Drosophila melanogaster: one gene and its partners. The protein of the gene in region 3 interacts with the protein of the main gene of each other region in a biochemical or structural test. Each region holds a gene or a part of one and is shown on either strand. Other genes may lie near its edges.

The links.
Region 1: of the proteins of Mcm3 (region 3) and grp, one has a biochemical effect on the other in vitro, tested with the Drosophila melanogaster proteins (one study listed by BioGRID).
Region 2: of the proteins of Mcm3 (region 3) and lok, one has a biochemical effect on the other in vitro, tested with the Drosophila melanogaster proteins (one study listed by BioGRID).

Annotation. Positions count from the first base shown.
Region 1 is NT_033779.5:16,677,118-16,684,942, reverse strand, and holds the start of grp (grapes), read right to left. Parts: upstream 4,890-7,825; 5' UTR 4,667-4,889; intron 4,494-4,666; exon of another isoform or gene 4,293-4,493; intron 4,238-4,292; exon of another isoform or gene 4,225-4,237; coding exon of another isoform or gene 3,499-4,224; exon of another isoform or gene 3,290-3,498; intron 3,125-3,289; exon of another isoform or gene 3,045-3,124; coding exon of another isoform or gene 2,577-3,044; exon of another isoform or gene 2,541-2,576; intron 2,441-2,540; exon of another isoform or gene 2,325-2,440; coding exon of another isoform or gene 1,851-2,324; exon of another isoform or gene 1,653-1,850; intron 1,334-1,652; exon of another isoform or gene 935-1,333; intron 446-934; 5' UTR 336-445; intron 1-335. Other genes in the region: CG33552 (uncharacterized protein), read right to left, coding at 1,851-2,324; CG31807 (uncharacterized protein), read left to right, coding at 2,577-3,044; squ (squash), read right to left, coding at 3,499-4,224; her (hermaphrodite), read right to left, coding at 5,968-6,300, 6,362-6,625, 6,694-7,560. UniProt on the Drosophila melanogaster protein: Serine/threonine-protein kinase which is required for checkpoint-mediated cell cycle arrest and activation of DNA repair in response to the presence of DNA damage or unreplicated DNA.
Region 2 is NT_033779.5:20,059,582-20,067,726, reverse strand, and holds lok (loki), read right to left. Parts: upstream 6,306-8,145; 5' UTR 6,007-6,305; exon of another isoform or gene 5,946-6,006; 5' UTR 5,851-5,945; coding exon 5,664-5,850; intron 5,580-5,663; coding exon 5,422-5,579; intron 5,183-5,421; coding exon 5,074-5,182; intron 4,994-5,073; coding exon 4,556-4,993; coding exon of another isoform or gene 4,542-4,555; exon of another isoform or gene 4,409-4,541; intron 4,350-4,408; coding exon 4,115-4,349; intron 4,056-4,114; coding exon 3,752-4,055; 3' UTR 3,346-3,751; downstream 1-3,345. Other genes in the region: bwa (brain washing), read right to left, coding at 829-966; vls (valois), read left to right, coding at 2,129-2,668, 2,726-3,102, 3,155-3,341; barr (barren), read left to right, coding at 7,004-7,315, 7,375-8,145. UniProt on the Drosophila melanogaster protein: May have a role in germline establishment.
Region 3 is NC_004354.4:5,320,378-5,328,209, reverse strand, and holds Mcm3 (minichromosome maintenance 3), read right to left. Parts: upstream 4,356-7,832; 5' UTR 4,214-4,355; coding exon 2,855-4,213; intron 2,792-2,854; coding exon 2,558-2,791; intron 2,484-2,557; coding exon 1,617-2,483; 3' UTR 1,472-1,616; downstream 1-1,471. Other genes in the region: CG3309 (uncharacterized protein), read left to right, coding at 1-41, 101-904; Rnp4F (RNA-binding protein 4F), read left to right, coding at 5,803-5,820, 5,883-6,391, 6,473-6,648, 6,707-7,651, 7,706-7,832. UniProt on the Drosophila melanogaster protein: Acts as a component of the Mcm2-7 complex (Mcm complex) (Mcm complex) which is the putative replicative helicase essential for 'once per cell cycle' DNA replication initiation and elongation in eukaryotic cells.

The DNA of each region.
Region 1 (7,825 bases), on a different chromosome or scaffold from region 3:
ACAAATACTAATACCCATATTAAAATAATAGCGAAATAATGTAACTTAAAACTTTTCTAACCCCACAGTGCCCGAACGGGAGCTCTGTTCGTGGCAGCAGAGGCTGAAAGCCGGCTACCGGCGAGGGCTGTTGCTCCTTTTTCTTTACTCCACTCTTCCATCAACCATTGCACAGTGGTATCGGTACAGTAAATTTGAGATTTTATTTTTAATTGAAAAATTATACACAAATAAAAGATATCAACCTTTTCCAATCCTAATAATTTTATATTTTAAACAACAAATTAGGAATTTTTTTTTGGTAAACGTTTTAAGTTGCCCTGTGCGCTGCTTACCTTTCGGCAGCTCCAGCTTCAGTTGATGTCGCATAAAAAACTCTCGCCACAACTCGAGTGCGTAGGAATTGGAGTGGACCTTGTAAACAAAGCTGATTGGGAATCACTACCTAATATAGCGAAATTTGAAACATTGAAATTGGATTAGGGGTAGGTATACAAATTAAAGACACTTGAATGCGCTTAAAGTATAAACAAAGTTAAAGCTTTGATAAGAATGCGCGTCAAGAGAAATCAAATAGAACCAACCAAAAATGTTTTCATATTTTTAATGCTTTTGGTTTAAATGCAGCAATCTAACAATTAATACAAAAAAAGATTTCAGTTTGGTACACTTTAACGGATATTTCGAAGTGAAAATTTGGGTCCACCCGAAAAAAAGTGCTTGCACATTGTACATATTTATTTTAATAGCTTGCGCCATTTGTCGAATTGCTTCTTTATTTTTGATTTTGCTTCGTCTTTCACTCATCGAATAAGACCGCGACTCCAGACTTGTTAACATACAACCATACATATGTACATATAGAGAGACCCCCCCCCCCCACATCATCTACAGTTTTCACCACCATCCTTTGGTTTGACTACTTTTCGCTGACAACATCCATATTTATTTATGTACGTATGTATGTATGTAGGTTTGTTTGGATATTGATGTACAACTGCGTACAATAGCATCAGGCCTATGCATAAAACACAACAACTTCAGCATCCATTTCACCACTTATAACAACAAAACTTCTGCTTGACAACCCCGGCGAATAGAAGAAAAGGGAGCGAAGTAAGGAAAATCGCAAGAGAAGAAAAAAGGAAACAAAAGACGCACGTGGTTGCCACGGAACTAAAAACTTTTGGCTGCGTGTGTTCGTGAGTTCACACTTTTCTCGGGCGGGAAGAGAAGATGCACGCGAAAATAAACGGGAGAGAAGCAGCCACCACAAAAAGGAGACAGACAACTCGCACCGCCAAAACTCAGCACAAGTTTGCTAATTTAGCCAGTAAGTTACTGTAGCCTGATTCAATTAGTCAGATAAGGACCTTGCTCTACATTAGTAAATGCACTAAAATATTTATATTTTTAAGCAATACATATGTACCTACATTAACGTTATTATTTAACTTGATTCTTTTACTACTACTACTACACTACTTTTCAAATTCCCTCTACTTTATTACGTGAGCCACTTTCTCAATGTTATTTGGCAAACTCTGCGACAGATTATTGCTTAATTGATAATAATAGTTCCCGCACACAAAAACAATAACAAATTATTTATGTATGCATATAGTGGAGTGTGGTTTATTGATTAAGGAATTACGGGGGGTCTCACTCCACTTGCGATATACGCTTGCCAAATGTTCAAATCATCTATTGATTGAATAAGGGAAATTGAATAAAAATTGAGAAAATGATTGTGGTGGTTTAATTATCACAAACATACAAGAAAATATTAATTTCTCTTGTTTCTTTTGCTTGGGTTTTTATTTTGTCCAACTTCCCAGCAAATGTAATGTTTACTGTAATAATTCAGCCGTGCACAAATTTTGACCTGCTATAATAATGCGAACATCCATACAGCGGATCATCTGTGATTTGCAGATGGGGCATGTCTTGTTACGCTGCAAGTAATGTAGTATGCAATTCGCTCCAAAAAGGTGACCGCATTTAATTGAAACTGGGCGATGGTCTCCGGTAACCTCATAATTCCATTTGCAAATGTAGCACTTGTTCTCTTCGGCGATCTTCTTTCGTTTCATAGACAGGTTCTCCGCTTGATTCGCAATCGCGTCCTGCGCCGCTAGCCTCAGTCGCAACTCCTTCGTTATGTTCTTCTCCTTGTCCAGTTGCAGTCGCAGATCAATTAAACGCTTTTTGGACTCGAAACTATCCTTGATGATTTCGTCCTTTTCTTTGTTCCGTTTTCGCTGCTTAATGACCTCAACGATGAGTTTTTTCTTGGTCATCTTTGTAATATCTTGTTTATCCATCTCGTTTTCGATGTGAACGATTCGCAAATATTACAGTCGAGTTTTATTTTGAAATGGATTTTTTTTTTGACAGCTGTAAATATGTTGGCTGTGTTGGAAAATGCAACACACAACTAATTCTAATGATTACAAGAAAAAATAATTTTGTTCAATCTAGGCAGTCCACGCTTAAACCTTCACTGAGAAGACATTCGTTCTAAAAGTGCTTGTCTAAAAAATTCGTTCACCTTGTAATTTTAATTTCTTTACAATATGCCCAATAACAAAGCCCAGACTCGCTCGTTGATGAGGATGCTGAAGAAGGATGTTGTTGAGCAGCTCTTAGCGGAAAGGAAAAAAAGTGAGCAAAAGGACAAGCAACTGGCGAAGCTAAATATTACAACTCAAGAGAAGGATAAAATGCGCGAGGAGGAACTCAAGCTATATTACCAAATGGAAGAAGAGATAACCAATCAGAAATTATTGCAAGAGCAGTTGTTGTTCGAGTCCAAGGACGAATTAACACAGCAGCTTGAGAAGATTGCCATCGAAAATACTTGCTGCATATGCCTGGATCCTTGGGAAGCGAAGGATCATCACCGCTTGGTTTCGCTTAGATGTGGTCACCTTTTTGGGGAGATGTGCATCCGGACCCACTTGCAGCATGCCGATATGTGCCCAATATGCCGCAAAGTAGCTATTGAAAGAGACGTCTGGCGTGTGTTATTAAACACGCCATAAAATTATTTTCTATAAATACGATGTTCTAGCTATAATATAGTGCGTTGATAAGCGCGATCGATTTAATCGATAAACATAAATTTTAATACCTCGATTATATTTCCGACTATATTCCAATTTTTTCATATTTAGGAGGGGATACAATTGAATAATTACCAAATGGTTTGGGAAACATGCATTTGCAACAATAAATTAATATAAAAAAATTCATTTAAGGATATATTGAATTCTACAGCACTAACATTCCTTTCGCATTTAATTTATTAAAATAGATAAATATTTTGTTTACCCTATGATATCAAGTATTTTTCTTTCTATTTGTAGAACTGCATCCAATATAAATTCGGTTTTCTAAACGACGTTTAAGCCGTTTATTTACATGTTACAGAAGCTTATATATAAAAAGTGATTGATTTTTTGGTTCTAATAATTGCATTCCCCGTTGGTTCCTCCTTCATTCATTGAATTGGTTTCCAAATTGGACTGGTGATTCCACTTCCTGGTCGTAACTCTCCGCAAGCTGTTTGTAAGGTACTTCGAGGTATTTCTCCGACTTTGACGCCTTGATCTCGCCCTGCTTCTTGCTGCTGTCCAAATCTGAAGCGGCAGATTCATAAAGGCTGAAGGAACTGATTGAACTATTGGCAGTATGATACGAACTACTGGAACTGGAATTCTTCGTTCGGGGAATCTTGCGTGGTTTAAAAAATTCGGGGTCTGTGATGAGGGGAAATTGTTTCCGTCCGTTTCTTATAATTTTAATGGGTCCTTCTGGTGGTTTTACTTCGGGCAGAACGGGCAGCGAATCTGTTGCCATGGACATCATTCCGAAGTGACGCATCATGGCTAACGCCTCTAGCTCATTTGTGCTTTCATCCTCCCAATCTTTCATAGTGGCGTGCTCGCCCAGCGGCCTTGTGCCTGCTATCTTCTGTATGTTCTCCATTAGCTGAAGGCTTTGCCGAATATCACGACCAGTTCCGCCTCTGCTTCCATGGATATTTTCGAGCTCGGAATTCCTCTTTTCCCGGGACTTCAGATATTCATATGTGCATTTCGGTCGCGGCCAAAACTCCCCTTGCTTCTTCATGTCGTAGGCCAGTTGACCATGGACAAAATTGAAATCCGGCTCCATGTCGACCAGATCATCCTCGAACTGCGAATTGGGAACCCATGCCATGATCGTGCGTTGTCTTAGGCGAAATTTATTTGTTAATTTTCTGACATCAGACATAACCTAAAACTCACCTAACAAAAAATACTCCGAGAACTCGCCATGAAAACAATTGAACAGCTACACTGTCAACAAGTTCTCAGAATCTGAGACTGAATGTTTACTCCGTTATTTTCAAAGAATAGTTTCAGTGCGACCATTCACCATTGAGCACGGAAATGCCGTAAGAATTATTAAGGCTGTGGTGAATTTAAGTGCACCGGTGTGCGGTGAATCTTTTGCACACCGGTGCGTGGTCAAGGTGAATAATATTGCGCCAAAAAGTTAAACAAAAGGTTAAGGAAGGGGGAGCGGGGTGCAGCAAGCAAGTCATTAAATAAACAAAGGGTAATGCCCCACGAATCAGCATATATACATTCCTAATTTATGCACCACTATTCCAACTCACCAGCAGCGTCTTTTCCGGCCAGCGCGTTTTACTGTTGTTGCTACGTCTACACAAATTTGGGATTCTCGATTTGGATTATTAAACTTTTTTAATTCACTGCTTTGCAAGACACTATAACAGCGACCGTGCTCTTATTCACACTTGGAGTAACTGAAATGCAAAAAATTCCGCAAACGCTGCTAAAATATACTTTAGTTTGCGATAGGGCTGGAGCAAAACTGGATGCACAGTGCAAGCTATCGATTTCTCCAGTAAATCGCTGATATCGATGGTTATCCGTTTCGGATCCCAAGTATCGATCGTCGAAAATCACAAGGCACATAAATTTGTGATTTCAGTATTTAGCTGATTTTATTTGTATTTAGCTTAAAATCATTACAGTATTTAGCTGTTAATATTAAATACACTTTTTTAAATATGATTATTATCCGGTACTATAAATAGTCATATTTAAAATAATATATAATTATTGACTAATTGTTTTTAATTTTCATTGAATTTATTTTTTCTTCAATAATCGATCGTAGTGTAGACATTTTCAACACACAATTTATTGAATAACACAATTCCTAAAATATACTCGTTACTCGTAGAGTAAAAGGGTATACTAGATTCGTTGAAAAGTATGTAACATGCAGAAGAAAGCGTTTCCGACTATATAAAGTGTATATATTTATATATAAGTATATATTCTTGATCAGAATCAATAGCCGAGTCGATCTAGTCATGTCCGTCTGTCCGTATGAACGACGAGATATCAGAAACTTTAAAAGCTAGAAGGTTGAGATTTAGCATACATATTCTAGAGATAAAGACGCAGCGGAACCCATGTTGCGACGCCCACAAACCGCACAAAACTGACACGCCCATATTTAAAAAAAAAATTGTTGGATATTTTTCATAATTTTATTAGTCGCTTAAATTTCTATCGATTTGCCAAAAAACTTTTTGCCACGCCCATTCCAACGCCCTAAAGCCGCCAAACCGGTCACGCCCACACGTTTGAATTTTTTTTAAATTTTTTCACATTATACAATATTTATTAATATCCCAGAGGATTAAATTTCGCGTTCGCATTCACACTAGCTGAGTAACGGTTATATGATAGTCGGGGATCTCGACTATAGTATTCTTTCTTTTTTAAACTACTCCTATACTTGTTTTTGGGCTTAAATTAAAGGTTAATTAACTAGTTTTAAAGTACTTGGGATTTTCTTAATTCGTTTACTTTACACTTTAAATAGTAAACAACTTAATGGTATTCTTATACAAATACCAAAGGGATGATACATTTTTTATCATCAAGTTTGACTTAACGTGCCCTGTTTAGAGTACATGTCCTTGATTATCTGCATGCGAGTCATTCGAGTCGCGCACAGCCAGGAGTCCTTAATTTGAAATGCCTCGAACTGCTTGCGATCTTCCTTGAAGGGTTTGTAGTAAATGTCATAGATGATGCGCAGGATGCGTTGCACATTCTCCTGCGACGGCTTCTTTGAGTGCTTTGCAAATGTTTGGTTCTTTTGCATCTTTGTGTACTTGCCATCATCCCACCAATCTGGAAAATCTGTATCTGCATCGCCAGCTTTAAGGTCCTTCTTGAGTTCCGCTTTGGGACTTATGTGATGTACAGCCTTTAGTGATAAAAACATTGTTAGGAAAAGTTCGTTTTTTTCGTTTATAGTTCTTTCTTACATCCGGCGTACTCCAACTCCAAGCCAGATCGGTCAGCGATGATTGTTTTATTTTAACTGGTTCCTCTCCGCTCAGCATTGGCACAAGAAACTCATCCTGCTGATCTTCTTCGGCAAGGGACATGGCCAACTCATCGTCTAATTCGTCCATTTGCTGCTGGACAGAAATTGAAGTGCTCTTTATGGGCAGCTCCAATTTTGTTGGAGCTCCCGGCGGTGGATCTATTGACTGGAACCATCGCAACTGGCCATCAACGTTGACAGCCTGCAAACATTGTAAATGTTGTTAATGATTGAAGAGCGAATTTAACAACTACATTTTGCAATGCTTACGATGACGTGCTTATCCCGGATGTCTCCATGGAGAATCTGCGGGTTGCTAATGGTGATGATGGGCGGCTGCTCCTCCTCCTGCAGTTCCTCGTAAACAAATTCCAAACTTTCCTCGTCGTATTTCATACTGCCTACCAGGGCTTCTTTTAAAGGAATATTTCCGTGCTCCAGCTGCTTATTCAGCACAGGACTCTGGTCCTCCAGCAACTGTTCTTTCTTTTGCCTTTGTTTCGGTTGCTGATCCCTCAGCATTTGCACCTTCTGCTTTTGGTCCTTCAACTTTAGATTCTTCAAATCCTGTTTCTCTGTGATCTGATATTTTAGCTTATGTTCCTTCAGCATTTGCTTCTCCAGCAGCATCTCCTGGCGCAGTTCCTCCGCAGTTTGAATGGCCTCCTCTATGCCCGAATGGCGTAGCTCGTGGTGCCGCTTGAGATTGGCCTTTCGGTCGGAGCTGTAGGTGCAAAGGGAGCACTTAAACGTCCTGTGGCTCTTCTCCGGATTGTTGTGCACCATCAAGTGGCGCTTGAGGTCGTATGGACGATTTGTCTCGTATCTGCATCCCATCACCAGGCACTGCAACTTGGCATTGCGATCCTTGTGCTGCGCTTCCGGAGGGCGCTTTTTGCACCCAGGATGTTTGATAGACACGTGCCGCTTCAGGTTCGACGCCTTGTCGGTGTTGTAAACGCAAACGGGGCATCCGTATAGCTTGGACTGCGTAATACCAATGTGGGACTCCTCATGACGCGCCAGATTGTAGGGTCTGTTCGTCCTGTAGGGGCACCTGTCCACGCTGCAACGGAATTTCCAGGCCGAGCACGATCCATATTCTTCCTCCACCGAATCCCGATCCGCACTAAGCATTGCAAAAGTCCACAATAAGACCACAATATTATTAATGCTACAGGTCTAGCCTGGTGTTTGGATATCTTGGGAACACACTCATTTCGGTGGATCACTAAACTATCTGTTTTGGGGTAAACAAACTGTCCGTATTTTAATTAATTTTAATTACATGTTTGTTTGTTTAGAGCACATATCGATTACTGTTCGTTGATATCGATTATTCAACAAAAGTCACGGGATACGAAATTCACAACTACCGCAAAAAAAGTACTGCAAAGATTAT
Region 2 (8,145 bases), on a different chromosome or scaffold from region 3:
CTTATATTGTTAATTAGAATATCAGAAAAAATGTTGTTTTGATCCACTTTTAGTGCGTTGTTTTCGTAAACAGCGTTTCTATCAATGGTTAGCTTCAGACGATTAACCTTGATAAGGCCTAATGAAAGTGAGCCCGTCACATATTGAGTTACGAGTTACGATTGTAAGAACGTTTATATTAATGCGGATGCCATTCATTACCACCAGCACAGCTATTTGTTTAGGCTGTTTTACTATAATGACAAATGCAAACGGCTGACTAACTAAATGAAATCGCGAGCGTATAATCTACATATTTCAAATCTAATAACATCGGACAGCCGGGTTCAAAGTAGTTATATAAATCATATTATATATGAAAGAGATGATAACAACCAAATGAGAGAAGCTAGCCCTTGCAGGACTTAGTTTGAAGTCCGTGTAGCGGCCAAGTCTGAAGAGACACAAGTTTCCAGTCCGAGGACAAAGTGTTCATTATGCTTTGCCCTGTCCGCAATACCAAGTTTTATATCGATCGGACAGGTGTGAAGCTCAGGGCGATAAGAAAACTGAATTTTCCGGGTGTCGCATTTTCCGGGTGCGAAAATGACCCCCACCCCCAGCCCATCGTCACACCAACGCAAACAAAGCGTGGCAAACAGCATCTTTTGTTTACGTTGCCAGTCGGTCTCGCTCTAAAAAGGTCAAGGCCTATTCAAAGGGAAAACTAGCAGCTGTCTGCGAAGGGGTGAGAAGAGCAACTACGACCACTGCGGGGACAACTAAGTGGGGCAGCGAAAGCAGAGCGCACAAATTACATACAACGTTAAATAAATCGCACATACGCACCGTGTTCACGAACTCGGCGATGTTGGACGAAATCAAGTAGTTGCCTTCGCACCAGTCGACGGGCGAGCTTCCGGGTCTTAGGTGCTCCCAGGCCATGGCGTAGATGTCCAGCAGCCCGCCGCCCCCCATCCCGCCCATTCTCCGCCCACTCGATGGAGGCCCGACCGCAGAGATCACAGCTGATTGGGGAGGCGGTTCCGCTCGTTCTGCCCAGGCACTTTGTGTGTGTGTGTGTTGCTCTGTCGCCCTTCCTTGCAATCTTAGACCAGCTGCAGTGGCGCAATTTGCATAATAGCCCAGTGTGCAAGCACTTGCGTGTCTTTGTTGATTGCCTTCCGTCGCGTGGCTTACTGCAGAGTCGAAGTATTCCGCAGTTATGTAAGGAAATATTTAGTTCTTGATGGCTCAGGCGATGGAATCTACGACGTTTGGGACGCTGACCACTCGCGCTAGGAACGCACTTTTCAAAAAATAAACCAGCGCGCAACGAGCGACGCGATAATAATAAACAAAAATAACAACTGTGTGACCGCTTGCAAGCGAACGGTAAATGTCCATAGTGGCGGGAAATCCCCTAAAAAATACCGTTGCTCACAACTATACCGTTAAGCAATGTGAAATGTAAACGTAATGTAGAAACTTTGCAGTTGTAAAGTGCGCCATTCTCTTTTTTTAATTACCGCCTGGCGATTTCGGAACTCCTGTATCGGAAGTCTTATTGTTATATAAATAAATATATTCTTTATGGCATTTTAAAGTGTTGTTCTTGAAAATTATCCTTCACAATTTTATCAAAAATGAGTAAGGAATTCTGAACGTGTTCTGAACCTTTAACCAATCCTTTGACCAATCTATAAATGACTAACTATCATAATTTTGGATGTCCTCCTAGTGATGATGCGCACCAAGATTGCTCAATTTGAAAATGAAAGCTGTAAATAGAAATGCTAAAAAAAACTTGCAAAACGTATTTTCAAAGTCTTTCTATTAATCGACACTTTCATCTCAACTCGTGAAGAAGTGCAATTAAAAATTATTAAAATAGGTCAGTATACATTTTTCCGAGTTCATAATACTGATATTAATCGGAATAAACGAACTCATTTTGAATAAACCAATCAAAAAAAAAAAAAAAAAAAACTCCAGAGTATCCAGCTCGCGCGATTATCTCTAATATTAATGTCTAATAATATCGATATTTCGATTGGTACACAAATCGATGTATTTGGTCTTGCCGGGCTCGTTGCTCTTCCTTGCTGGCCGATTCTCTGTTGTTTTACGGAATCTTGAGTGAGAGACGATGTTCCCGCAACGCAGCTCGGAGCTGTACCGCACTCCGGTGACCCACCAGCCTCCGCCGGCACTGGAGCTGGCCGGGAATCTGGAGTACCCGAACCTCAACATTGCGGACCTAAACGCGCGATTGGAAAACCTTTCGCCGCGACTGCACGACTGCTGGGACAGCATCGCTATCAATGATCACAACCACCTGGCCCTGGCCACAAACCGACGCGAAGGACGCCAATGGTGGGGCATGTTGTTCGGCTACGGACGCGACCAGATGCACCATATGAGCGTGGACTCGGCGAACTTCAAGCTGCAGGCGGAGCACACGGTGAACATTGTGCGCTACGCTGAGGATGATTTCCTACTGGTGGCCCTTGGGGATACCCGACTCCAGGCCTGGTCCACATACTCCAAGGTGCGAGATTCTCAGTCGCCATACTGCCTCTTCCTCGTGGGCGAGTCCAGTGCGCATCCCACACCCATCAGCCAACTGAGCGTCTTCAAGGCGGATCCCCGCACTGCCGTTTCGGGCTCAGCGGACAGTACCCTCAATGTATGTATAAAGGTGATGTGGATGTATGGAAAATATACAAATGTTACCCTTTTGCAGGTCTGGGATCTCTCGGGCGCCGATATGGTGAGCACCTACAGATCGCGCTCCTCGCATACCGACAAGTTGACTGGCCTGGCCACACCCGCAGCTTCAGTCGATAAATTTGTGACCTGTGATCGTGGCGGCTGTGCCCGCCTTTGGGATGTCCGGGCAGCGGCTCCATCTTCCACGTGCCTCTATGCGGATGCCAGCCACGTGCTGAGCTTCACCAGTGCCGCCTGGGCAGCTGCCTCGGAGCTGCAGGGTGACAATCACATCTATCTCGGGGACTATGACGGCAAAGTTCATACTCTGGACATTCGAGTGCCACGAAAACTGGCGGAAACCAGGGAATACTTCGACAAGGGCCATGTCGCCCAGTTATTAATCAATGGGTACAAGTTTAAGCGAAACAATGACGATTTGCATTAACGCACATATTTTCAGGCCCCATCTGGCTGCGATGAGCAATTTGCCCGCCTCCGTGAAAGTGGCCAATGTGCAGGCGGGCCATGAGTTCATCTACACGCACCAGGACACCCATTCTCGCCTAACTGATGCCGTTTGGACCGATGATAGCACCCTCATCACCATTGGACATGGCCGCAAAATGGTGACGCACGCTATCAAATAATTTTGCTGCCGAACAAATTCAATTGCTTTATTTCAAAAAGCGGAATGGTTTGCTGAAGAGTCATTCTTACATTTAACACTTATAGTTACTGAACAGTTACAAGTAATAAATCGTAATAATAGTCCAATGAAATGGCAGAATTCAAATCGATAGGAATCTTAAAAAAATTGTGAAGCAGCAGCCCAGTTTAAATGCAGTTTAACAGGATAAACCGGGCTTGGGCGATGAAACTTACACTAGACAACACGTAAAAATTAACAACCGCAAAAAATACTTAAATTCGCCAATACACTCGGATGCGGCGGTGTCGGCGTTTTGGGAAAAATGTTGTCGCTTAATTTTTCCAGAAAATTAAAACCTTTTCGCGCCTCGACCCTCACGTATTAACGATGGAAACACAGAAACGAAACCTAGCGTCGCGATCGCTTGGTGGGTGGCTCAAGGAAGTTCTCCTCCTCGATTTCCATGCCATCGAGCTTCATCAGCCTCTTCGCCTTCTGCAGCATGGGCGCATCGCGCAGCCAGCTGCTCTGCAAAACGTCGTCGATTGAGGGTCGCCTCTCGGGATCCACAATGAGCATTTGGTTGATCAGCAGCTTGGCGCGCTGCGAGACACTCTTCCAAGAAGGGTGTCCATACGCGAATCTGCCCTTCTTTATTTGCTGGGCCGCCGGGGTGCCGTACTCGTCCGAAAAGGGCAGAGTGCCACTCAGGCTGCAAGATATGAGTATATTGCTAAGTTATCTTCGTAGGAGAATAACATAATGACTTACCAAGTAAATAGCACCACTCCCAAGCTCCAAATGTCCACTTTCTTGGTGTAGGCTTCTCGGCCGCCGGTAATCAGCACCTCAGGGGCCACGTAGAGAGGTGTGCCACAGAGCGTGCGCATAACCGAGTCCTTCTGCACAAACTTACTCAGCCCGAAATCGGAGACCTTCAGTAGGGTCTCCTCGTCATTGGTCTCCAGCAAAACATTGTCAGGCTTAAGGTCACGATGGGTGATGCCTGAAAGGTAGAAACTAGTTAGTTGAATAATTCGATTGATGTGTTCGCAGTAGTCGTACTAGCAAATTCGTAAAGGCGCAGGAATGATTTGCAATTAAGGGCGTTTTCAATGACCATTCCGAAGACTTACTTATTTGCATAACAGAAATGAACGGCTTGCTTAATCAGCAACACATTCGAACCCAAATAAAACTAATTTGTTTTACCCCGATCGTGTAGGTACTTGACGGCATGGCACATTTGGTAAAAGTAAAGCTTCGAGATGTCCTCGCTAAGTAGTTTGTTGCTGATGATCCGGTTAAGCAGGTCGCCGCCGCGCATAAACTCCAGCACCATATACACAGAATCCGGCTTGTCCACGATGTCGTGCATGCGAACCACGCACGGATGTGAAAGATTCTTCATAATCTTGGCTTCGTTCAGCACCCGGTCGGGATCACTGAAATTGGTACTGGGTCGCGCCCCAGAGAGCATATTCTTCTTAACGATTTTCATCGCAAACTGCTGGCAGGTGCGGGTGTCATAGACCAAACGCACCAGTCCGTACGCTCCAGATCCCAGCTTGCGATTTACATAATACGTCTTGTTAATCTCCTCGGGAAGCCCGATCGACTCATTCGGGCTGAGATCCTTGAATACAAAGGCTACAAGGGAGGGCAGGTGCAAAACATCAAATTACTTGCGAGTCCTTGTCGATAGCTATACCTGCTTGTCGATCGCTTACCTTTGTACGTTGGGTGGGACAGGGAAATTACGTCGTCATTCTTTAGGATTCGCATCCTGTTTGTGCCAATTTTCTCGTTATTCACAAACGTCCCGTTGCGTGAGAGATCCTGCGAAATGGGCGGAAACAAGGTTACTACATTTTAATAATATACGGAATTATACGGAATAGTAACTTCTTTTTGTAAATTAATTGTGGGAAATATTCAATATTGAAGTTACCTTTTTTGATAATCTCAACAAAACATAAATAAAACTTAATTTGAATTCTGCTCTTGTGGGTTCTGAATTTGCTATCTTTTTTTTCAAGGCTTCCTTCAGAGCTTTTGGGTTTGGAACTTCCACCTACCTGAATATAAACTGGATTGGTAAGTTCGCAGTTTGCCCGCTTTATGATAAAATGCACTTTGGAAATGCGCGTCAGGATTTTCTCGGGCAAATCGTTGAGCGTGAGGATCAAGTCGTTGGCCTCCCCTCGTCCTGCGGTGAACTCGTCGTTGTTGAGATCTGCAAACAGTTCAGCATGGGATCGTCATTAATACATGAGGAGCACACGCAATGGGGACACAAAACAGGAGGAAATGTGGTTACCAACAGAAAAGGACGAATGCGTATAAATGATTCGGTATTTTGAACTCGTACCCAGCGATTTGATCTTAATGTTCTTGCCGTACAATCGACCCCAGACTATCTTCTCCATCGGCTGGCTCTCCACCTGCGTCCAGATATTGGAGGCCTGACTCTGGGTTCCCTGCGTTCCTTGTGTGTCGCGTGCCATAGTGATTCCAAAACTCCGAAACTCCGTAGCCCCGTAATCTCGTATTCCTGCTATTCCGCAAGTCGAACTGGAAAACCCGTTAGGTTTGCCTGGAACTGCGTAAATTCGAAATGTCCAGTTACTCCAGCACTACCACAGGCAGAAATGCACACATACACGAGGAGTCCGATCTTCGGAAAAGCTATAGATCTATAGAAGCTATGGGTTTGAATCTCTGAGCGTTTCTTCTGCCCAATTCGATTACATCGAGCTTTTCGCACAGCGCTGGCTGATAGTTATTTAGAGTTTATCAGACGAAAACAACGAAAACTAACAAAAATCACGACATTGGTTCGATGTGAACTGCGCGAGGGACTACAATTTCTGCGGCAGTGTGTGTAAAAGTTGCCGCCTTCCAGGGATGGGGTGATTATCAGCGCCAGTGTTGGCAAGAGTCCCAAGGAAAAATTAAGGGTTTTTACAAATTAAATATTGCTTAGGTTAAGACTTTATTGTCAAAAGAAAAAATACTAATTAACTACCGGACTGAAAATTATATAAAAAACTAAAAGTATTGAAACAGATTAATTCCTTTACAGATCGTAGTTTCTTTAATATGGTACATGTATTTGAAATTTAACGGCCATCCATTGTTGAAATCCATTCAGCACTGGCAGGACCTGTGCAGCCCTGAACTTAAAGAAATTCCATTGTAAGCTATCGTGTTTTTATTCGATTTCGAAGCTTTAAGGTGTAAATTAAGTTTGTTTATTTCATTTTTCTCATATGATAAAATTATGTATCATGTTTATACTAGTTAATTATATTCCGCAATACTTTATAGCTAATTCTTTAGCGATTTTCCTGTCCATATTATCTAGCTAGCTTGGCACACCTTTAGTTTTAACCAACACTGAAATGCAGCCCTAAATTGCGGCGTCGTTTGAAAGAAACTGTAAACTATTACCAATACCAGCGCAAAAACAGAAATAGACAAAATACAATCAACAAATCATCAAAAAACAAAAAATTCAAAACTGTCGAATTGGGATCACAGCTATTATTAAAAGTGAGTGTGCTTATTAACACTCTCCAAAACCATCAGCCTACGGCAACCAAAATTCCTTGTGCTGTTCTCTGACTTCATCTCTGATTTATCCACTTCCTTGAAAGGATGACTCTGCCCCGCTTAGAAACTCCGCTCAGGCGGTCCGCAGTAGGCAGTTACCAGGAGGGGGTGTCCCGCATGCTAACCCCCTTTAACGACGACGAGGCGGAAAGGCGGGAAGCCCGACGTCGCACGCTCCTTCAGCAGCATCACCGGTCGAGCACTCTGGAGTCCATCGAGGACAATGAGACCATCAAAAATTGCTTGGAGCTCTACAATGGCAACAAGGTGAGCAAGGACAACGCCTGGAACCTGATGCTCATCGATTCGTTGGCCAATTTGCTGGATCACCATCACAAGCGCATGAGCAACTTCAAGGTGGGTTTTGCCTCATTCAGTTTATGTAAATGTAATAATTTCATGATGTTATACCCTAGATGGCTGGTTCCTCTTTAGAAGCCTCTTCCAAGGTTTACGGCCTGCGTGTGGACTCCATCTACTTGGACGCCATGCGCATTTCAGCTGGCTTGAGTGCACGAACTCTTACGGATAAGCAAATAAATGCTGCCGAGGATGATGATGGCCCCCAAGGTGAACAGGCTACTGGCGAGGGTCAGGACTCAGCGCAACAGGCAGCAAAAGAAGCAGCACCGAAGCCCAAACGGCAAAAGAAACCCATATCCACCGTGACCAAAAACAGAGAAACGCTGAACAGCCGGCTGGATACGGCTCCCTTGCAGGATCCTGTGTTTGGCAAGCTGAACTCCACTGTGGGCTCTATAAATGCTTCCAATCGTCTGATGCACAACATTCTTCCTAGTTTCGACTCTGAATTGCGCTTGCGTACCACCTACAATTTTTGGAACAGCGAAGAGTCCACCGAGGAGGTCCAGGACCACACTACACTCAATGCAGAAATGGAACAATGGCCAGCCACATCACTTATGAGCACCAATCTTATGCGCAAACTGCTGCCACATGCTGAAAGGTCAAATCTGCGACCGCTGCATACGGGCTACATCATCACAAGTGCTCCCAATCCCAAGTCGGCAAATGAAAAGGCCGCCGAGGTAGTGCAGGATGAAGATCATGACGAGGGTCTGGATAATGCCGACGATATGTGTGTAAATGAGATTTCCATGGCCTTTGACATCAATGCCGAGTGTGAGCCCATGCCGGACCTGGATGGACCACCGCCTCTGGTGCTG
Region 3 (7,832 bases):
TGAAGGATTGGCCGCACATGCTGCGACTGGTGGACAACCAGGTGAGTGTCCCAATCCCAGTTAACGCAATACAAAATATATCCGTCTTGCTCGTTTTCAGAAGAACATGCAGCAGCAACAGCATCTGCTGCTGGGCCAAAAACACGCAAGGAACATCGCATCGGCCACATCATTTTCCAGTTCAACGGAACTCGGTGGCCGTATAGCACTGAAATCGAACACCAATCTCAATGGCAGCTCCAGTTCCAGCAATGGCTCGGGCGATGCCTCGTCCGCGGGCCTGCACAGTAAATATAGGCCGTACCTGAAAAAGGACAAGGCGCTGATCAAAAAGGTGCTGCTGGGCATGAAGACCAAGCGGCCGGAGCATGTGCAAACCGCACTGATACGACGCCATCTGCTCGAGCTGACGCAAAGCTTTATGATACCACTGGAACGGTATATGGCATCACTGATGCCGCTGCAAAAGGACATCAGTCCGTTTAAGTCGGCGCCGAATGCCAACAGCTTTAAGCTGGATGACTTTCTGGGCACGCTGGAAACCGCTGGGCCGCAGCTAACGTCGCCGCTGAAGGGCGACTGGAAGGGCCTGTACAGACGCTTCTTTCGATCGCCCAATTTTCGCGGCTGGTACGGTGCACGTCATCGGGAGCTGCAGCTAACGCTGCAGGATCTACAGCTGCAGGCGCTATCCGTGGCGAATCTCGAGCACTGGGCGCACGACAAGCAGGAGGTGGAGATCATCGATATGATACTCAAGCTCAAGCAAAAACTGAATCTCTATGGCGACAAAGCCACGCAGCTGGAGGGCAACAATGGCTCAACTCAGCAGCAGATACGCGCCCAGATTGAGTGCATGAAGGGCTTGCTGCCGCCGGATCTCAAGAATGTGGTGAATCTTTGATGGTAGTAGCTCAATCCTCGTCCTCCTCCTTCTCTTCTGCCACTTATCACTTTGGCTGCTCCACATCTGTCTGCTAGTATCCTGTGATTGTGTGATTGTGCCTGGCGGTGCTCTTTATCAGTGTAAATAGATTTTAATCGGCGATTAGTCGCCGTATTTGTGTCTAGTTTAATTCTAAAGTGAATCCAAGCGAAGCGATGAATGTTGTTAGTTCAAACTACAAGTCAAGTATTAAATGTAATCGATGTGTCCCTTCCATATTTTCACATCCATGCGAAAACAATGCTCATGTCTCAAAATGTCGAAAACCATGCCAATAATATCTATGTGGCTGCAGCTTGAAACCACTAACCACAACATTGCAGTCCCTTCCTCTCCAGCTTTTTACTGATTGTGAATGGGAGTTGTGAAGCCAGTTGGTTATACCTTCAGTTTGTTTCTTTTAAAACCGTTGTGCAACTTTGTGTGTATATCGCTTAAATTGTTTATGTCAAATATAAGTTAACTATAATACATTAGCCAACAGCTGCAGCCTTTCCTTATGCCAACGTACATATTCCGTGGATTGCAATGGGAGTTCCAAAGTGTTTATTTTTTTTTTTATATAAATACAAAACAAAAATGACAACTTAAGCGCTAGAATGGTTGATGGATAAAGGATGGATTGATGGATGCAATCGTTCGTTCGATTGTTGCTCCTTGGAATGCGCGATCAGATGAGAAAGACTATATCGTCGGCGACCATGATCTGATTGTCCTCGGTCATGCGATGCACGGCGGCCTCGATTTCGCCAGCGGTGAACGGCTCCTGGCTGCCAACGTTGATGGCCGTGGTGATCCTGGCCAGCGCCAAGCTCTGTTCGCGTGCCTCGCGAAACAGTCGCTGCAAATTGTTCTTGAACTCGCCCAGGCGGGCATCGCTAATGATGGCCGGCTCCGTGGTCGATGTGGCCACCGACTGCTCCTCACTGGAGGGGCTGGCCATCAGCATGGCGACCGAGCGAGCGGGCAGAGAACGACGCGTTTCGCGACGCGTCAAATCGCCAGCATCCGGCTGTGGTGGCTCAATATCCTCCTCATCGCTATCGGCACCGACGGTCGCTGTGCGTGTGCGTTTGGAGCGTCGCGATGGTGAGCGCTGGCTAGATGCCTCACCGTTGTCATCCTCCGCATCGGAGCCGCTGTTGCGACGACGCTTGCTGGGGCGATCCTTATCCAGCACCTTCTTAAAGTAGGCAAACTGTACCAGTTCGATGGCCGCATGGGCATCGTCGATGGTCACCGATTTGGACATGCGTGCCCGGGCATGGGCCGTGGACAAACGGATGAGGGTCTCCAGGGTACGGGCCGTTATTGGCTGCGTGCGTGCCACATCCGTTTCGACCGCCTCCTGGGAGCGCAGGCGCGAATACTCATTGGCAATCGCCTCGCAGGCCTGCTCGCCCAATTTGGGCTTCATACACTTGGCAATGTGTATGTACTTGCGCATGAACTCCACGGATAGGATCTTCTCGTGACGCTGACGCGACTTGCCATGCAGCAGGGCATCGTACTTTTCGTACACCTCGGTGTCCTTCTTCTGTAAAATACAATTTCAAGACCATGTCAATCGATTATACACAATCATAATCGTGCCTTTCGACGAAAACCCACCTCCTCGCTGCTGGAAACAAAGGACAAGGAGTCCGCATAGGAGCTGCCCATGGACAAGGGCTCGCCGTCGGCCTCCTTGGGATTGCGATAGCGATGCATGCGCACCACATGGTCCGAAATCATTTGATCCACATCGCTGTCAATCACGTCCAGCATAACGAAGAGCAAATCGAAACGCGAAAGCAGCGAATCCTGCAGTCCAATATTTTCCATCGGCGTCTTATATTGATCATACTGGAATTGAAGACGAAATTAGCAAGAAAAGCGATGAACAGACGGATTCGGATGGACTCTTACCCTTCCGTACACCGGATTAGCGGCTGCCAAAACGGAGCAGCGAGCATTGAGCGAGGCATGGATGCCCGCTTTGGAAATGGTAACACGACCCTGTTCCATCACCTCGTGAATGGCTGTGCGATCGATGTCGCTCATCTTGTCAAACTCATCAATGCAGACGACACCGCGATCGGCCAGGACCATGGCGCCCGCCTCCAATCGCCGCTCACCGGTCTCCTGATCCGTGGTAACCGCCGCCGTCAGACCGACGCCGCTGGATCCGCGACCCGTTGTCGGTATGGCCCTTGGTGCCGTATTCAAGACGTAGCGCAGTAGCTGCGACTTGGCCACCGAAGGATCGCCGATAAGCAAGACATTAATATCGCCACGCAGGCGTGTGCCATTCGGCAGGATCTTCTCAACGCCGCCGAGCAGCAGGCAAAGAATGGCCTGCTTCACATAGGCATGTCCATGAATCGAGGGCGCCAAACTCTTGCTGAGCAGCTCGAAGATGTCGTTATTCTTCGCTAGCTTCTTGCACAGCATGATGTCTTCGCGCGATATGTCCAAATTGCTCTCCTTGCTGAGCAGCGATATATTGTTGGCCAGCAGCACGGTGCGGAACGTGCCCGAGGTGTAGCCACCGCGTTTGCCCGGCAAACAGCGATAGCTGCCCACAATCTGTACACGATCGCCGGGCTTGCAGCGATCCACGAGATCGTCGTCGCACACAATATCCACCGAACGCGGCAATTGGCCAGCCGGCGCCTTCTCGGGCATCTCTTGAATGGTCAGCGTCTGGTGATCCTTGTAAACGGACAAACCGTATTCGGTCTCCAGCAGATTGCCATCCTCGTCCTTTGTGGGATAGGCAGCGCCAGATGGCACAGCCTCGAACGATGTGAGATCGGTGTATTTGCGCTCCATTACCTTACGCGTATTGGGGCAATAGTGAACGCTGCGCACCACCTTGGGACGAATCAGCGATACCTTGGTAACAATGCCCTCCACGCACACCATGTTGCCCAGATAGATGGAGGTGAGGGAGCGCGGCGTCACATGCCGATTGCCAAAGCAGCCCTCGAAGCCGACAAACAGATCCTCATGCATTTTGGCATAGCCCGGATCAACCGTGGACGCATACTCCTTGAGCGCCCTGCCAAAGGCCAGCTGCTCATCCGCCGCGTTGCTCAGTAGCCCCAATGCACGTTGCGGATTCTTGCGTTTTAGATCGTTGACATTCACGATCAGGCGCTTGCTCTTCTCCGCGATCATATCCTTGACGTGGCCCGCATAGATGCCCTGATCCTCCTCGTCGTCCAGAAAGTCCACATACTCGCGTTGTATGTCCTTGATGAACTGCTCCCCCTCGTGGGCCATTCTGTGACTTAAGCTGTACACTGGAGTTCACAAAACTTCTTTCGATTTCGCTTATGGATCAACTTCGATCCGTTCGGAGGCAAACGCAAATGCAAACAAAACTAATGTCGCAAATTGCACGCCGAATGCAAAGTTTTTTCGCGGGAAAAGCGTAGTGTGACCATACTGTGGGCATTTGAAGACTGGTTGCGCGGGCAAAATATATATGCTATAATTATTTCCTTTTTTTATATATTTACATATAATTATTAACTTTATTATATAAAACATAGTGGACATAGCAAACTAACTAATATAAGCAAATATACGTTGATATGCAAATTTATAATTAAAACGTTTCCACCGAACATCTGACTTAATTTGTAATGCATACAATATAGAAAACTATCAAATAATTCCTATAATAGTAGTATATATTTATTATCTGCCTAATTAATATCTACATTTAATCCATTGCTATAATAGTAAAATATATTTATTATTTGCTAAATTACTGTCCACACTTAATACATTCCTATAATATATACAATATATGTATTATGTGCCTAATTACTGTTTAAACTTAATCCATTCTTATAATAGTATTATATATTTATTATTTGCTTAATTATTATATAATATATAATATTATTACACTTAAACCATTCTTATAATAGTATAATATTTGTATTTATTATTTGCCTAATTATTATTATATTATTATTACTATATCCTATAATATATACAATATATGTATTATATGACTTATTACTGTTTACACCTAATCAATTCCTATTATAGTATTATAGTATATAGTAATATATTTATTATTTGCTTAATTACTGTCCACACTTAATCCATTCATATAATGGTATAATATTTTTATTATTTGCCTGAGTACTGTCTACACTTAATCCATTTATGATGTGGCTGCGTATTAAATAGTTTATTATTATTAAATAGTTTGTGTAAAAGAAACAGAAATTGTTTACATTTTATGATACATATATATATAGCACTTAAGTAAAATAAATTCCATTTTTATTTATTTCTATAAAATATATATATGTTTAAAATAAATTATATTTCTTGGTAGGATTTAGTTTATCATTTGACTTTGCTATACATTTCTGACCGCCCAAAGAAACCAGTTAATATTGACCACATATTACCGAAATTAGTCTTCAAATTGCTCATCACGAGTCTTCACTGCACTGCTGGTAACACAGCCATTGTCTGGACTGCCGCAACTATCGAGTGCGCACAGCTATCGATATTACGCACTGGTCACACTGTTATAACGAAAAAAAAATTCGCATATTATTCACACTTTACCGGTGTTTCTTGACAGAAAATGATAAGTTTTCGTTAACCGAATTCTCAGAAAGTAAGTGCTTGGAAAGTTTTTCCAAGAAAAAGTGCCCAATAGGGAAACCAAACCTGAAACCAAATAATTTTCCACGATAAGCGCAACAACGCGATATTAGATTGGCCAGCCCTGCGTTTGCGGTTTTTTTTTTGTTTTTTTATTTCCTGTATTTTTTTTGGGGGGGAAAAATTGCAGTTCCACGGAAAGCGAAAAGTTTTCCACCAAAATAAACGGTTGAAGCATGGACGCCGACAAGCAGGTGAGTGTCAGATTATAGCTCCAATAGGCGCCGCCCTTATGCGTATGCCCAATATATTGCAGCTGGAAAGGCAGCTGGAGAAGGAGCTGGACGAGATGCCGGCAGAGGATTTGGACGACGATGCGTATGACGAGTATGATCTGATCGTGATACCCGATCAGGGCAAGGGCTCGCCGCAGCAGGGGCACAGTGAGTCGCCGCAGCAGGAGGAGGAGCACAAGTCGGAGGAGCTGCGCCAACGATCGCGCCCAACCTGGCCACCGTCGTCCGCCGGCGGGGATATGACCACCATTGAGTTGATCTCATCGGACGACGAGCCGTCAGTGGAGGAGACTGAGGGAGGCAATGCCGCTGGCCGTGGCAGAGCGCGCAATGATTCCAGCAGCAGTAGCGATGATGTGGGCGTGATCGAAGGCTCGGAATTGGAATCGAACAGTGAGGTGTCCAGTGACAGTGACAGTGATAGCGACAACGCTGGCGGCGGAAATCAGCTAGAGCGCTCGTATCAGGAGCTGAATGCGTTGCCCAGCAAAAAGTTTGCCCAAATGGTCTCGCTCATTGGAATCGCATTGTGAGTTTGCCTGCTTCTCCCACTCCCATTTTCCATTTTTTCAATATCGGCATTAGCTAATGTTGATGCTCGTTAATGCAGCAAACTGAATGATCTGGAAAAGATCGAGTCATCGGTGCTGGAGCTGCAAAATTTGGCCACTGTGCCGGCTCACGTGTGGCTGAAGTATCTAAAGGCCCGCCTGGTCGTCACCCAAACGGACGAGGAGCGCAAGGCATTCGAGGAGCAGTGTGCCAAAGCGTTGGGCTACTACTACAGTATGCGATAGATAGAATCCATTCGTAGTTAAACCAATTGACGAGTTACATATTGCAGGCATACCGCTGTCCGAATACGTTGTCAACTACCTGGTGGATCAGGGCAACGTACAGAACCATGTGCTGTGGGCCAAACTGCTGGCGGACTACGACGTGGAGCGTCCAGACTTTGGCGACAAGCTGCGTTCGCTGATATCGACAATTACGGACGAAAATGAGGCTGCCGCCTTTGTGGAAATGCTGCAAAAGCACTGCGTCACCTGGACGTGCAACGTGGAGCAGCGGCAGATGATCAAGTCCGTTGTGGACAAGTTTAAGCAACATCTGGACGAGACAACGCGTGGTTGGGATTGGTCTGAGCAACACAAGGCTCATGTCTACGATGTGGAGACATTATCCCTTGACGATGACCTCAAAAACGCTGTGATCCGTTTCATATTCGAACGCTCGGTGGCCAAGTTTCCCATTGTCGATGTGCTCTGGTTATCCTACATTGAGTTCATTCAGTTCGAAGGCGTCACTGTGCCGGAGAATGAGGATGAGAATGAGGTAACCGCCGAAATGGTAGCCAAACGGGCCAAACGCTTGGGCAAAGGTTTTCTGCGCAACACGGAACTCGATTTGGCCAATCGTGGTGTGCGCAGTCATCCCAGTGTACAATTGAATCATCGTTTCCTCGACCTAATGGAGCGCTCGGACTTTGAGTTGGCGGAAGTGGATGAAGAGATACGTCTCATATTGCAGCGCATTGTGACCGACATGGATATGACCGTGGAGCTGCATCTGGACTATCTGGCCTATCGTATTCGCAACACCAATGCCAGCGATGAGCAGCAGGTCGCCAGTCTGCGTGCCGCCTTCAATCATGCTTGGGAGGAGCTAACCGTGCTCTACGGCGACCAGGCGGACACCAGGTACGAGGTGCTGCAGTTGTGGGCCCAAGTTGAGTACACGCAACTGGGGAGTCCGGACAATGGCCGTGAGATTTGGCGCCAAATAATGGGTGAGCGCTTTGAAATATGATTGCATAAGCAATGTTTTAACTACTCATCTTTAGGCTATCCGGGCAGCTCGATACGCGGCCTGCTCTGGCTGAACTTTGCCCAGATGGAAAGCGAATACAATGGTGGCCACGGCACACGCGATGTCCTTCGCAAAGCTCTCTCGCAGCCCGTCCTCGAGAA